Linked DNA regions of Elephas maximus indicus. The protein of the gene in region 3 purifies or fractionates together with the protein of the main gene of each other region. This does not show direct contact. Links are inferred from orthologs where the notes say so. Each region holds a gene or a part of one and is shown on either strand. Other genes may lie near its edges.

Region 1 (3,746 bases), on a different chromosome or scaffold from region 3:
TCAAGGGGCACAAGCCCGTCAACACCTTGATTTTAGCCCTTAAGCCCTCTTTTCAGACTTCAGACCACCAGAACTGTAAGATAAGAAATTTGTGTTGTTATAAAAACCCCCTTAAAACCCATTGTTGTGGAGTCGACTTCCACTCATAGTGACCTTTTAGGAAAGAGTAGAACTGCTCCACAGGGTTTCCAAGGAGCGGGTGGTGGATTCCAACTGCCGACCTTTTGGTTAGCACTTAGTGGTAGTTTTTTATACCAGCAATAGGCAAGTGAGGCGCCTAGGTAAAAAATTTAAGGCAGTACCTGCATGAAGCTGAGGGTTCGCCTGCCTCAATCCTGTCCCGGCTCTGGTGTCCATTGCGCGTTTATCAGCATTCTCACGCTCGCAGCGAGATTACCTGCGAGAGCGATTCGCAGCAGAAGCCGAGGGCCTCGGTGCCCGGTACCTACTCTGCCCAGGAGGCTGATTTCCAGGTTCCTGCCTACGTGTGTCTGGCCCACACTCGTGCGCAGAAGAGAAGGGCAGTGCTCTTGGGCTGTGCTGGGTCGGCCCGGTCCATATCCGGGCGGATGGGGTGGGTGGGGCCGCCCCCCTCCGGGTCCCGAGGTGGGTTGGGGGTGGGGAGTGACGCGCGCGGTTTCCCTTTTGGCCCCCCGTGATCAGACAGGGGGCTACGCAGGGAACGTGGGGTGACCGGGCGTGCCTTTCGGACGTGCCCGCCCTGCGGATCGCGCCCCGGAGCGCCCTCGCCCCCAGGCCCGGGCAGTCGCAGAGCCACAAGGACAGGGAGTGGAGGCCAGCGCTGGGGCGCGCCGAGCCGGCCACCGCTCCGAACTGGCCCGGGAAAGTAGTGCGGAGGGCGGAGCCGGCCGGGCCTGCGGGAGGAGGGGCGGCCGCAGCTGCAGCCCGCGCTTGGCTTCCGTCCCAGCTCCCCTTCCCCTCCTCCTCCTCGTCCTCCTGTATGAGTCAGGCGTTTCCCGGGGATTGGGAGCAGCCGCGCGCCGCCTGGCCGCCGGGAGCTGCAGCCGCCGCTGCCGCCACCGCGCCCCGAGCCCAGCGCCCGGGCTGCCACCGCGGCGGGCACTCGCGCCCCGGGCGCGCACGGACCATGGAGAGGACGGCCCCGGGCGTGGAGGGCGGCGGCGGCGGGGGCAGCGACAGCAGCAGCCGCAGCAGCAGCCGCGCCACCTCGGCTGGCTCCTCGCCCTCCTGCTCCGTGGCGGGCCGGGGGGTCTCCGGCAGGTCGCCGGCGGCCGGGCTCGGCGGCGGAGGCAGCCGCAGCAGCCCGGGCTCGGTGGCCGCTAGCCCGTCCGGGGGAGGCGGCCGCCGGAGGGAGCCAGCGCTCGAGGGCGTGCTCAGCAAATACACCAACCTCCTCCAGGGCTGGCAGAACAGGTAACGCGCCCGCCGCCGCGCAGTGTGTGTGCCGTGTGCGCGCGCGGTGCTGCCACCGGCGGACCGGCCGTGCCTCGGCACCGGGCCCTTCCTGCGTCCCGGCTCCCCCTCGAGGTGGGGTCCCCAGGTGGGGGCGCGCCAGGACCCCACCCGGGACCGCACCGCAGTGGCAGAGAGAGGCCAGAGCCCTTGTTTTCTTCTGTGCTGGCACTTGCAGGCACTGGAGTGGCAGGGGAGCGTCCTGGTCCCCGTGCCTGGCCTGCCAGCGGTTTCCCCCACCGGTGAAAATAGCCCAGAAAGGGAGGCAGAGAGGGCCGGCTTTGGGCTTGGCAGCAAAAGCGTTAACAGTCTGGTCCATTCACAGCAATTCTCTTCACAGAATAGTCCGGTTTAAACTTTGGTGATTAAAACAAGAGCAAGCACCACAAAGCCCCTGCCACTTGTCGTCCTCGGCGCCCCCTAACGCGCGTGTAGCACCCCCTCTCCGGTTGGCCATTCGAACCTCCAATCTCTGCAAAGGAAATTTAGTGGGGTTTTTGTTCGTTTGTGTGTGTGTGTGTTTTAAACACTCTCTCCCCTTTCGGTATGGGCGGCTGGCTTTTTACATTGTTGTTATTTCCCCCCTTGATGCTTTTTGAAGTTTTCTGCTCACTCTCCTACAGCTGGGAATATGGACACGTGGGCGGATGAGAATGTCCTGGGAAGCGACTCCAGCACACTTGGGGTGGTAGTAGTGCATGGACTATTGGAATGAGGAAGATTTTCAAATGAGTAGAAGTGGTATTACTCTTTAGAACGTTTTCCTTTGTTTTTTAAAAAGAGGAAAAAAAAAAAAAAAAAAGAAGCCAGAGGGAAATATGAGTTGTCCATGCAAGTCGAAGAGGCCTTTCTGGAAAGGGGGTCTTGTCTTTGCCTTTAATAGCGGCATGGGTCTTAATAGACGAGGGACTCTTAGTGATGCTGTGCTTTCTGGATCACCCTGTGGGGGGTCTTGCTTATCTCTCTGTTGGTTAACCCAGATTATTGCTTGGTGGTCTGTCTTCCTGTAGCTTGTTTGGAAATGTTCAGCTTGGACATCCCAACTGAAGTATGACCTGCAGACGTGCATGAAACTCCACTAGGAAGGTGATGACTTCCAAAGTATGGAAACTAGGTGGTTTTTATATTGATACAGAACTTTCCCAGGCTCCTGGGTTTCCTTGGAGACCTGTTACTAAGTTAACCAAAGTTGCACTTTAACTTTTGAATCCTTGTATTTCTCAAAATAACCACAGTGTTGGCTCTTGCCTCTCCCTGTCCCCTTTCAGTTCTTGAGAGCTGAAAAAGACTAGGTAGAGTGGGAAGGGTGACGGAGAAGAGGTGACCAAATCTGACTTTCGTTCTTGGTTATTGTGTCTGGTTAATGGCGCCCCAGGGTGCCTTGTCAGTGACAGCGTTTTGTTTGTGCGTTGAGCAATCACTTTTAATGCTTTTTCTTCAAGTACCTTATGATGCCAGCAGAGCTTTTGCCCTGGATTACAGTTACTTTCCTTGCTTGGGGACACTGATGGTTTCACCTAATTGTAAATCCACTGGGGAGTGTAGATGGGAGGCAAAGTTGAGAAGAGGTAAAATCGCCGTCATCATCTTGTGTGATTGCAGGGTGCGTAGGTGAAAGAGGTGTCTTGTACACTGTTGCATTTATTTACTGTGATTTACAGCTGTCTGCCTATGTTTGTTCTACCGACCCTAGAAGCATTGTCTCAGTCTAATGGTTAATGCTTTAGTGTCAGGATTTATACTTCCCACATCCGCGTTCTCTGAACGATGGCTGAGGGTTCATCAGTGGTCTGGAAAACATTTATGATGGCTCTGTGATTGCACACTCTTGCTTCTCAAGGAGCCTTCTAAAGAGAAACCTGGATTAGTGACTAGAGAGAAGAAAATGAAGATAAGAAACTTGAAAATGTGTTCATTTGTTCATTAATAGATTCAGTGATTATTTTATTGAGCACCTGGGCGATCCGATTCCAAAAGTTCGCAGCCTTGGGAACCCTGTGCAGCAGTTCTGTTTTGTAGACACAGGGTGGCCATGAGTTGGAATCCACTCGAGGGCAACTAACAACTACAAACCAAACCCATCCTTCATACTCACAGCAACCTACAGTACAGAGTAGAACTGCCCCCATAGGGTTTCCAAGGGTGTAGTCTTTGTGGAAACAGACTGTCACATTTTCCTCCCGTGGCAACTGGTGGGTTCCAACCACTGACCTTTTGGTTAACAGTCAAGCGCTTAACTACTGTGCAAACAGGTCTCCTTTAACAACAACTATGTACCAAAAAGGAGTCCCTGGGTAGTACAGTTAAGCACT
Region 2 (3,746 bases), on a different chromosome or scaffold from region 3:
TCATAGCGACCCTACAGGACAGAGTAGAACTGCCCCATAGGGTTTCCAAGGAGCGCCTGGCAGATTCGAACTGCTGACTCTTTGGTTAGCAGCCGCAGCACTTAACCACCACTATGCCACCAGGGTTTCCAACACTGCCATTAGGGAGATGCAAATCAAAACTACAATGAGGTATCACCTCACCCCCATGAGAATAGAAATGATCAAAAAAAACGGCAAACGAGTGTTGACAAGGTTGGGGAGGAAGTGTAACCCTCACCCACTGCTAGTGAGACCGTAAAATGGTACAGCCACTATGGATAAACATTTTTGCCATTCCTCAAAAAGTTCAACACAGAATTACCACATGACCCGGCAATCCCAGTTCTAGGTATATACTCAGAAGAAGTGAAGGCAGGAACACAAACAGGAACCTGTACATCAATGTTCACTGCACTTTTCACAACAGCCAAAAGATGGAAACAACCGAAATGTCCAACAACAGATTAACGGATAAACAAGATGTAGCATATAAATACAATGCAATATTACCCAGCTGTAAAGAGAAATGAAGTTCTGAGGCGTGCCACAACATAGACGAACCCTGAAAACATTATGCTGAGTGAAATAAGTCAGCCACAAAAGGACAAATACTGTATAATATCACTTACTCAATGGCAGTGGGTAATGGGTTTATATGAAATAAGCAAATATATAGACGTAAAGGGTTATTAATGGTTGCAAGGCGAGGGAGGGAGAAAAAGGGAGTCTTTGGGGGGCACTGAGTTTATGTCAATAGTGCTGAAATATTTTGGAACAGGATAGCAATAATTGGCAGAACATGAAAAATGTAATCAATGTCAATGAATTGTAAATACGGAAGTTGTGCTGGTAAATGTTTTGGTGTGTGTATTTCTACAACAATAAAAATATATACATTGGAATGCACTCAACGCATGAATGACTGTCAAATGCATTTTGTGAAAGAAGTGAAATTAAGTGAAAGAAACAGACCCAAAAGGCTACATACCATATAATTCCATTTATATGGCATTCTGGAAAAGGCAAAACTGTACACATAAAGACAAATCAGTGGTTGCAAAAATTGGTGTGGGGGTAGGCAGCAGACTACAAAGGAACAGCAGAGGGAATTTTGGGGGGCTGATGGGACATTTCTATACCATGATTGTGATGGTAGGCACATGCCCCTTCACATTGGTCAAGATAGGACTGTACACCTCGAGAATGAATTTTACTGTATGTAAATTTTAAACAAATAAATTCGCTGATAAATCACCCTCTACACAAACTTTCATCTTGAATTTAAAAACAACCTTCCACTACAAATCAAAGCATGTCTCTCATATGTGTTCTTAAGGTTTCCTTCCCAGTTTGGCGAAGACGACCTATATTGTTTTTACTTTGCAATTGAGGAGCAGTACAGGTTAAACAATATGCAAGCTTCTGGCACTATGATGTCTTTAGTTCTTGTACTCCACTCTATCATGCCAAACATCAGTAACAAGAGGTTTTCTTCATCAAAATAAATTGCCTATTTATACTATTTCATAAACCAGAAAAATCAAGATAAACAAGTATTTTAGAGGGGTGAAAGTAAGTACATATTCAAGAAAACGTAATCACTTTTTTAAAAATCAGAATATATTATTCACACAAAAAATAAACCCTAGCTTTGACTGGCATGGAAAATTAGTTCATAAAGCACTCTAATTTCTAATGGGTGTTTAAAGTAAATAAAGGTATAATACAAAAACAGATGGAAGCACTAAAAATGAGGCTCTAAATAAGATGATGCATCACCGTAAACTGAGACAAAATAAAGCTTCGGTCCTGCACCATCTAAGGAGCGTTAAGTTCAAGTTCGTCCCCGTCTTTTTTGTAGGTCTGAGCTCTCGGACGGAGGACCTTTTTTTTTTTTTTTTTTTTAATTCAGTAAGTCACTCTGACACACAAAATCCCAAAGCCTCACAGATGTGACACATTCTTGGTCAGGTTGTGAACTTAGAAAACACAACCAACCATTTGAAATATTCTGCACAGGAGTTTCGCTTTTGGTTATCAGCCGAACGTTGGGAGGCAACCCGGAGTCTAGGTTGTGTAGCCTGAAGGGGGAGCCGGAAAACACCCTGGGTTTAGCGAAAACAGGTTTGGGAAAGAAGTAGGAGGGCGTCTTCTGTCACAGCACCTCGCCTTCACGTGCGAGGCAGCGTGCCACACTCGTAGGCTCTCTGGGGCCTGCAGCATAACCCAAGGGGGAAAATGACAGGGATGAAACCAAACCCGGGAGCGTCTCGTCGCTTCCTTTCGCCCAGCGCAGTTGAAGCCGGACCGCGCCGGGCAGAAAGGGTTCCTCGGTGGGATCTGAACTCAAGATTCATGGATCGGTGCCCACCGCTCCGCTCGGAAACGGGGATCTTTTCATCCCTCACCCACCCGATAAAATAAAACAACTCGTGGGCGAGAGCTCGGACACCGCCACCCGGTTTACGCAACCTGAGCCAAAAAGGCAGGCGGCAGGTGGGTGGCAGCGCCTGGGGAGGAAAGGGCCTGAAGCCCAAAACCAGACAGGGCCCGGCTCGGGCAGCTAGGGGAGCAGGAGGAAGGTGAGATTGTGGAACGGCGGCGCTCTCGTTACCTCCCCAGATGCCCAGAGAGAGCTGGGACGTGTCCAGGTTCACCACATAGTCCCCCAAGAACCGGTTCAAAACGTCCACGACCACAGACTCGAACACCATTTTCCTGAGCCGCAGCGGGCGACGCAGCCGCCCCCTCGCTCCTTCTTCCTGCACCTCCCCTCGTACCCTTCCCTCGAGAACGCTCGGTTCACCGGCCCCGGCGCGCCTCCGACTGTAGCGCCACCACTGGCCAGACGCGCAGGCCCGTCGCGAGCCCTGCGGTGGGCGGAGGCGGCCGCGTGCGCGACGCGTGCGCAGCTCGGGTCGGGGGTGGGGCTGAGCGCGGCGCCAACCTGGGCTCGCCGGCCCGAAAGGGAAAACTGGCGGCTGCGCGGCCGCGACTCTTGCGCCTGCCCCATCTGGGCCAAGTTGGGCTTCTTTTTCCCGTCGGCCCCTCCTCCCCCTCTCATCTCCCGGCAACGGGCCACGCAGCGAGAACTGCAAGGTTTTTCCCACTGCGCCCCCTAGCGGACGACGCGCGTCCAGACCAGACGCAGGGCGCGACGCGGCGGTTACGATCCGACGGGAGCGCCCCGCCCCTAAGAGGGGGTCAAAAGTCCTGCGCCTAAAAGAGGGGATTTTAGGAGGGGGCATGCTGAACCCATTCCTTGTTAGACGGGGGCCTTCAAGAAGGGGTGTCTCAGGAAGCACTTCCCACCCCCATTATTACAGGTTCCGAGGCAACGCCTGGGGTGTTGCCGGCTTCCTGGGTCTGCCCAGCCTGGGTGTCTGGACGCCTGTAACTGCCGCTCCCGGTCCTCCGAGCGCGGCGCGAGGACGGAGCACCTGCCCTTGAGGTGTTTTGACTTCCCGGCTGTAAATCGTGGGGAGAAAGAAAGAGTAAACGCGGGATTAGAATTCACGCCCCCTTCCCTGCACTGGAGATGGGCACCCTTTTTTGGTCAAGGAATCTACAGGGACTAGCCTTTCATCCCATAGAGTGTCACGTTTCCTTTCAGAGTTGTGAGTCAGCCTGTCGGGAAACTTCCGAGCGCCTTCCACGGAATACTGCCAGATCTATACTCTCGCCTCTGAGTTTTCACAAAGTCGCGGACCGAAAATTAATACATA
Region 3 (3,746 bases):
AAAGCACTGAACACTCATACCACCACTGAAAAGCTGAAGTCATGAAACCAGGTATCTAGATAAAACCACGAATATCTGCATTGACAAAGCACTGAATAGTCATAACACCGCTAAAAAGGTGAAGTCATGAAACCAGGTGTCTAGATACAACCACCAATATCTGCATTTATAAAGCACTGAACAGTCATAACAGCACTGAAAAGATGAAGTCATGAAACCAGTTGTCTAGATGCAATCACCAATCTCTGTATTTACAAAGCACTGGACGGCCACAGATAACTGTTTCTAAACAACGAAGCTTTCTGTAGGACGTGCGCATCATCCCTATTGACGAAAAGTAGTTCCAGATTTTGGCAAGTGAAGAGGTCCGCCCAAAGTCAAAAGAACTGGAACTTGCACTTTCTCAAATCGGTGCCTCTTTCCATAACATCGCATTGGTGCAGTGTTGGTGCTGGGGTGGGGGCTTGGAACCGCTGGGGGTCAATCCAGGGAGGACTGTCTGACGAGAGGCCCATGAGGGTAACTGGAACACCGCTATGTCCAACTTCTTTCCACTCTCCAGCTTCATCTCCACTTGGCCCTGCACCTCCAACAAATGCTCTCTGCAGCTATCATTCAGAACTACTAGCAGCACTCCAAAGGGGTCCAGTCATCCCAGCCTTTGCACCTTGTATATGCAATTCCCTCTACCTCAAATGGTCCCCACCCACTTCTTTTAGCCTACTTCCATTCGACTTCTGTAACTCAGCTCAAATGATACCTCTTCTAGGAGTTGACCTCCTTATCAAATGGCTCAGCTGACCCCTTCCCTAAACTTAGGTACTGGGGTGGTGAGCTAGGGGCCAATGCAAGAAGTACATCTCATGTGACTCAGCTTCTCCTCGCACCTGACACATAGTAGGCGCTCAGTAAGTGTTTGTGGACTAAACGAATGAACACACCAAGTCACAGGAGCAACCGAGTCAGGCTTCCCGGGACAGAGAACTTCAGACGACTCAAGTGGAAACCATCTCTCACCACATCCACTCAGGCACTCAGATTCCTTCCCCAGCCCAGCTCCTCCAGGAGAAGGCCATGAGAACATCATGCAAACCAAAGTACTGTCACAGAATTGTGACCTGTGCTAGGTTTTTGTGTTTTGCTTTGCTGTTTTCATCTTAACTGGAAAACCTTCAGGTCCATTTGGAGTCATTTCAGATTGTGTACCTAGGAGGCAAAGTGACAGTCACAGTTCTGGAGTATTTCCCAGGGGTCACACAGCATAACAATGAAAAATGCAGGCTTTGAAGTCTGGGTTTGAATGTGCCGCTTGCCAACTGGGTAACTCTGGGCTAGTCACCCTACACTGCTTCCTAACAGTGCATAGTCACTGGGTGCTTATGGCCAGCATTCATTCCAAAAACACCTATTCAGTACCTACTGTGGGCCAGGTGCTGGTGATATAGTGGTGCCTGGCTGTTCAATCTAAAGTGTCCCTCCAACAGGTCAGCCCGTTTTATTTCCTTCACAGCACTTAACATAATCCACAATGATCCTGTGAGTTTGTTTGCTGGTGTGTTTGTCTCCCTTAGTTAGAATGTAAGCTCTCTGAGAGCAGGGACCTTGTCCATCTTGTTTACCGCTGTCTCCCAGTGCCAAGCACACGCCCACCACACCATTAAAAGCTCAACACATGCGGAAAGAATCTATGAGCAAGTCAGACAAGGTGCCTGTTGTCTCACGTGCTTGTATTCTGGTGGCGAAAACAGTCCAAAAAAAGCTAAGAAATGTAAAGGTACAAGTGAGCAAGACGAAAGTTGCACCTAGGAACCGAGGCTCTGGCTCGCCACAAACTCACGTGCTACTCAGCTCCATCTCCAGGCAGCCTTGGGGAGAAATCGGATCCAACCATTCTGTCAGCACTGCCCCAGCTGCAGGACATAAGCGAGCAAAAAGACACTAGAAAGAAAGTTGGGCCATGTCCTATCACAACTCCTGCGGAAGTTCCTTTCATTCATTTGCTCAGCATGCGACTGGCCGCCTAACGAGTGCACAGGGGATGAATGACAAATCCTGTCCTCATGGAGTTTCCCTTCTAGCATTGAAGACAGAAAACAAGTTAGTTAGCGGGCAGTTTGGATGGTGACCAGTGCCTTGCAGACCACAGAACAGAGAGCTGGGTCACCAGCTGGGGACATCCGGGCTGAGACCTAGGAGGTCAATCTCGTGAAGAGTGCTTACACTCCAGAGCAGACCACAAACTAAACTAGGCGATAACAGTGACAATGACAACTGTGACAAGTGCCTCGAAGGCGAGGCGCCCCGAGAGGCCGGGGCGGCAAAGCAGCCTGGGCCCCCGCGCGCGGCCTCTCCGGCCCAGGCGGCTCCTGACAGCTGTGGGGGCGCCGGGCCTGCACCCCCAGAACTGGGGTGGGGCCGCGCAGCCCACGCGGGGCGCCGGCCGGGCCTGGCCGGAACATGGCGGCCGGCCCGGGGGCCTTCGCGGCTTACCTCGGAATTTGAGCTCGTGCTGTGGCTCGAGGCTCAGGACCTGCTCCACCTTCGCCATGTTCCTCGGCGGCGCGGCACCTTTGGTGGGGAGACCCCTGAGAAGTCAACTGAGGCGGGAAGCGTTAATGCTGCGCCCCCTTTAAATTAAAAAAAAAAAAAAAAAAACAGGCCAGCGGGGCGCTGGCGGGGGTCGCGACGGGGTGCGTGGGGGCGGGGGCGACCTACGCGGTGCAGGCGCAGGGGCAGAGGGCGAGGGCGAGGCCGCGGTGCCCGGCGAGCTGACGGCACGCACGCACGCACGCACGCACGCAGCGACGCACGCACGCGGCGGGAAGCGGCACCCTGCGCCGGCTCCAGGGGCGGGAGAGGGAGGCTGCGGGCGGAGCCCTCCCCTACAGCAGTGCGCAGGCGCAGGGGGGCGGGGCTGCCATGCAGCAAGGGGCGGGGCTTCGTGCAGCCCTGGAGGCGGGGCCGCTCCGGGCTGCCCAGAAATAATGACAGTCTGGGTGAAGACTATTCATTTTTTAAGGGCCTTTTGGGGGCCGGCTGTTGCGTTAAGTGCTCTATTCAATAATGATAATTAATAAGGATAAACTCCACTTTTCCCTTGCCTATTTAGTGCCAGGCACTGTTAAAGGCTTTGAGCAATAATGAAAGTACTATTTATTCATCTTATTATTATAAACATGATGTTTATGAGTGAATGATACGTGCTAGGCGCTGTAACGTATCGTAACTAATAATTATAAATATAATAAACGACCAATTATTGCTTGCTTATTTTGTGCCAGACAGCTGAATGCTTTCAGTAATAACAGCCACTATAATAAATAAAAGCTTTTATACACTGAATGTTTATGATGTCCCAAGCACTGTGCTGTATCTTTGCTAATAGACGCTATTTATGCAACAAATATTTAGAGATACAAAGGTCAGGAAAGTTGACGTAGTTCCTACCCTCTTGCTTCATAGTACAGCCTAGTGGAGCGACGTCCTTTCATTAAATAACCATACACGTAAATATAGGTTTAAAAATTGCTGGGATCAGCTTGACCTCAAAGTGGAACATTCTGCATCATTATTGCCATCGAACTTGTATTTTATTACAGAATGTTTGCTACATAAAATGTGTGTTCTTATTACTGTCTTATACATTCAGAAGAAAGACCTGGCAATCTACTTCTGAAAAATCAGCCACTGAAAACTCTGTGGAGCATGGTTCTCTGACACACATGGTGTCACTGTGAGTCGGAGTC

The links.
Region 1: the proteins of VAPB (region 3) and OSBPL10 purify together in Homo sapiens (affinity purification with mass spectrometry; 4 studies listed by BioGRID and IntAct, counting the BioPlex papers as one, with this or other methods). This does not show direct contact. The link is inferred for Elephas maximus indicus from reciprocal best matches to the Homo sapiens genes VAPB and OSBPL10.
Region 2: the proteins of VAPB (region 3) and VPS13A purify together in Homo sapiens (affinity purification with mass spectrometry; 3 studies listed by BioGRID and IntAct, counting the BioPlex papers as one, with this or other methods). This does not show direct contact. The link is inferred for Elephas maximus indicus from reciprocal best matches to the Homo sapiens genes VAPB and VPS13A.

Annotation. Positions count from the first base shown.
Region 1 is NC_064845.1:7,589,867-7,593,612, forward strand, and holds the start of OSBPL10 (oxysterol-binding protein-related protein 10), read left to right. Parts: upstream 1-961; coding exon 962-1,395; intron 1,396-3,746. UniProt on the Homo sapiens protein: Probable lipid transporter involved in lipid countertransport between the endoplasmic reticulum and the plasma membrane.
Region 2 is NC_064827.1:93,519,392-93,523,137, reverse strand, and holds the start of VPS13A (intermembrane lipid transfer protein VPS13A), read right to left. Parts: upstream 2,902-3,746; 5' UTR 2,736-2,901; coding exon 2,636-2,735; intron 1-2,635. UniProt on the Homo sapiens protein: Mediates the transfer of lipids between membranes at organelle contact sites. Binds phospholipids. Required for the formation or stabilization of ER-mitochondria contact sites which enable transfer of lipids between the ER and mitochondria.
Region 3 is NC_064843.1:10,890,780-10,894,525, forward strand, and holds the start of VAPB (vesicle-associated membrane protein-associated protein B/C), read right to left. Parts: upstream 2,781-3,746; 5' UTR 2,549-2,780; coding exon 2,491-2,548; intron 1-2,490. UniProt on the Homo sapiens protein: Endoplasmic reticulum (ER)-anchored protein that mediates the formation of contact sites between the ER and endosomes via interaction with FFAT motif-containing proteins such as STARD3 or WDR44.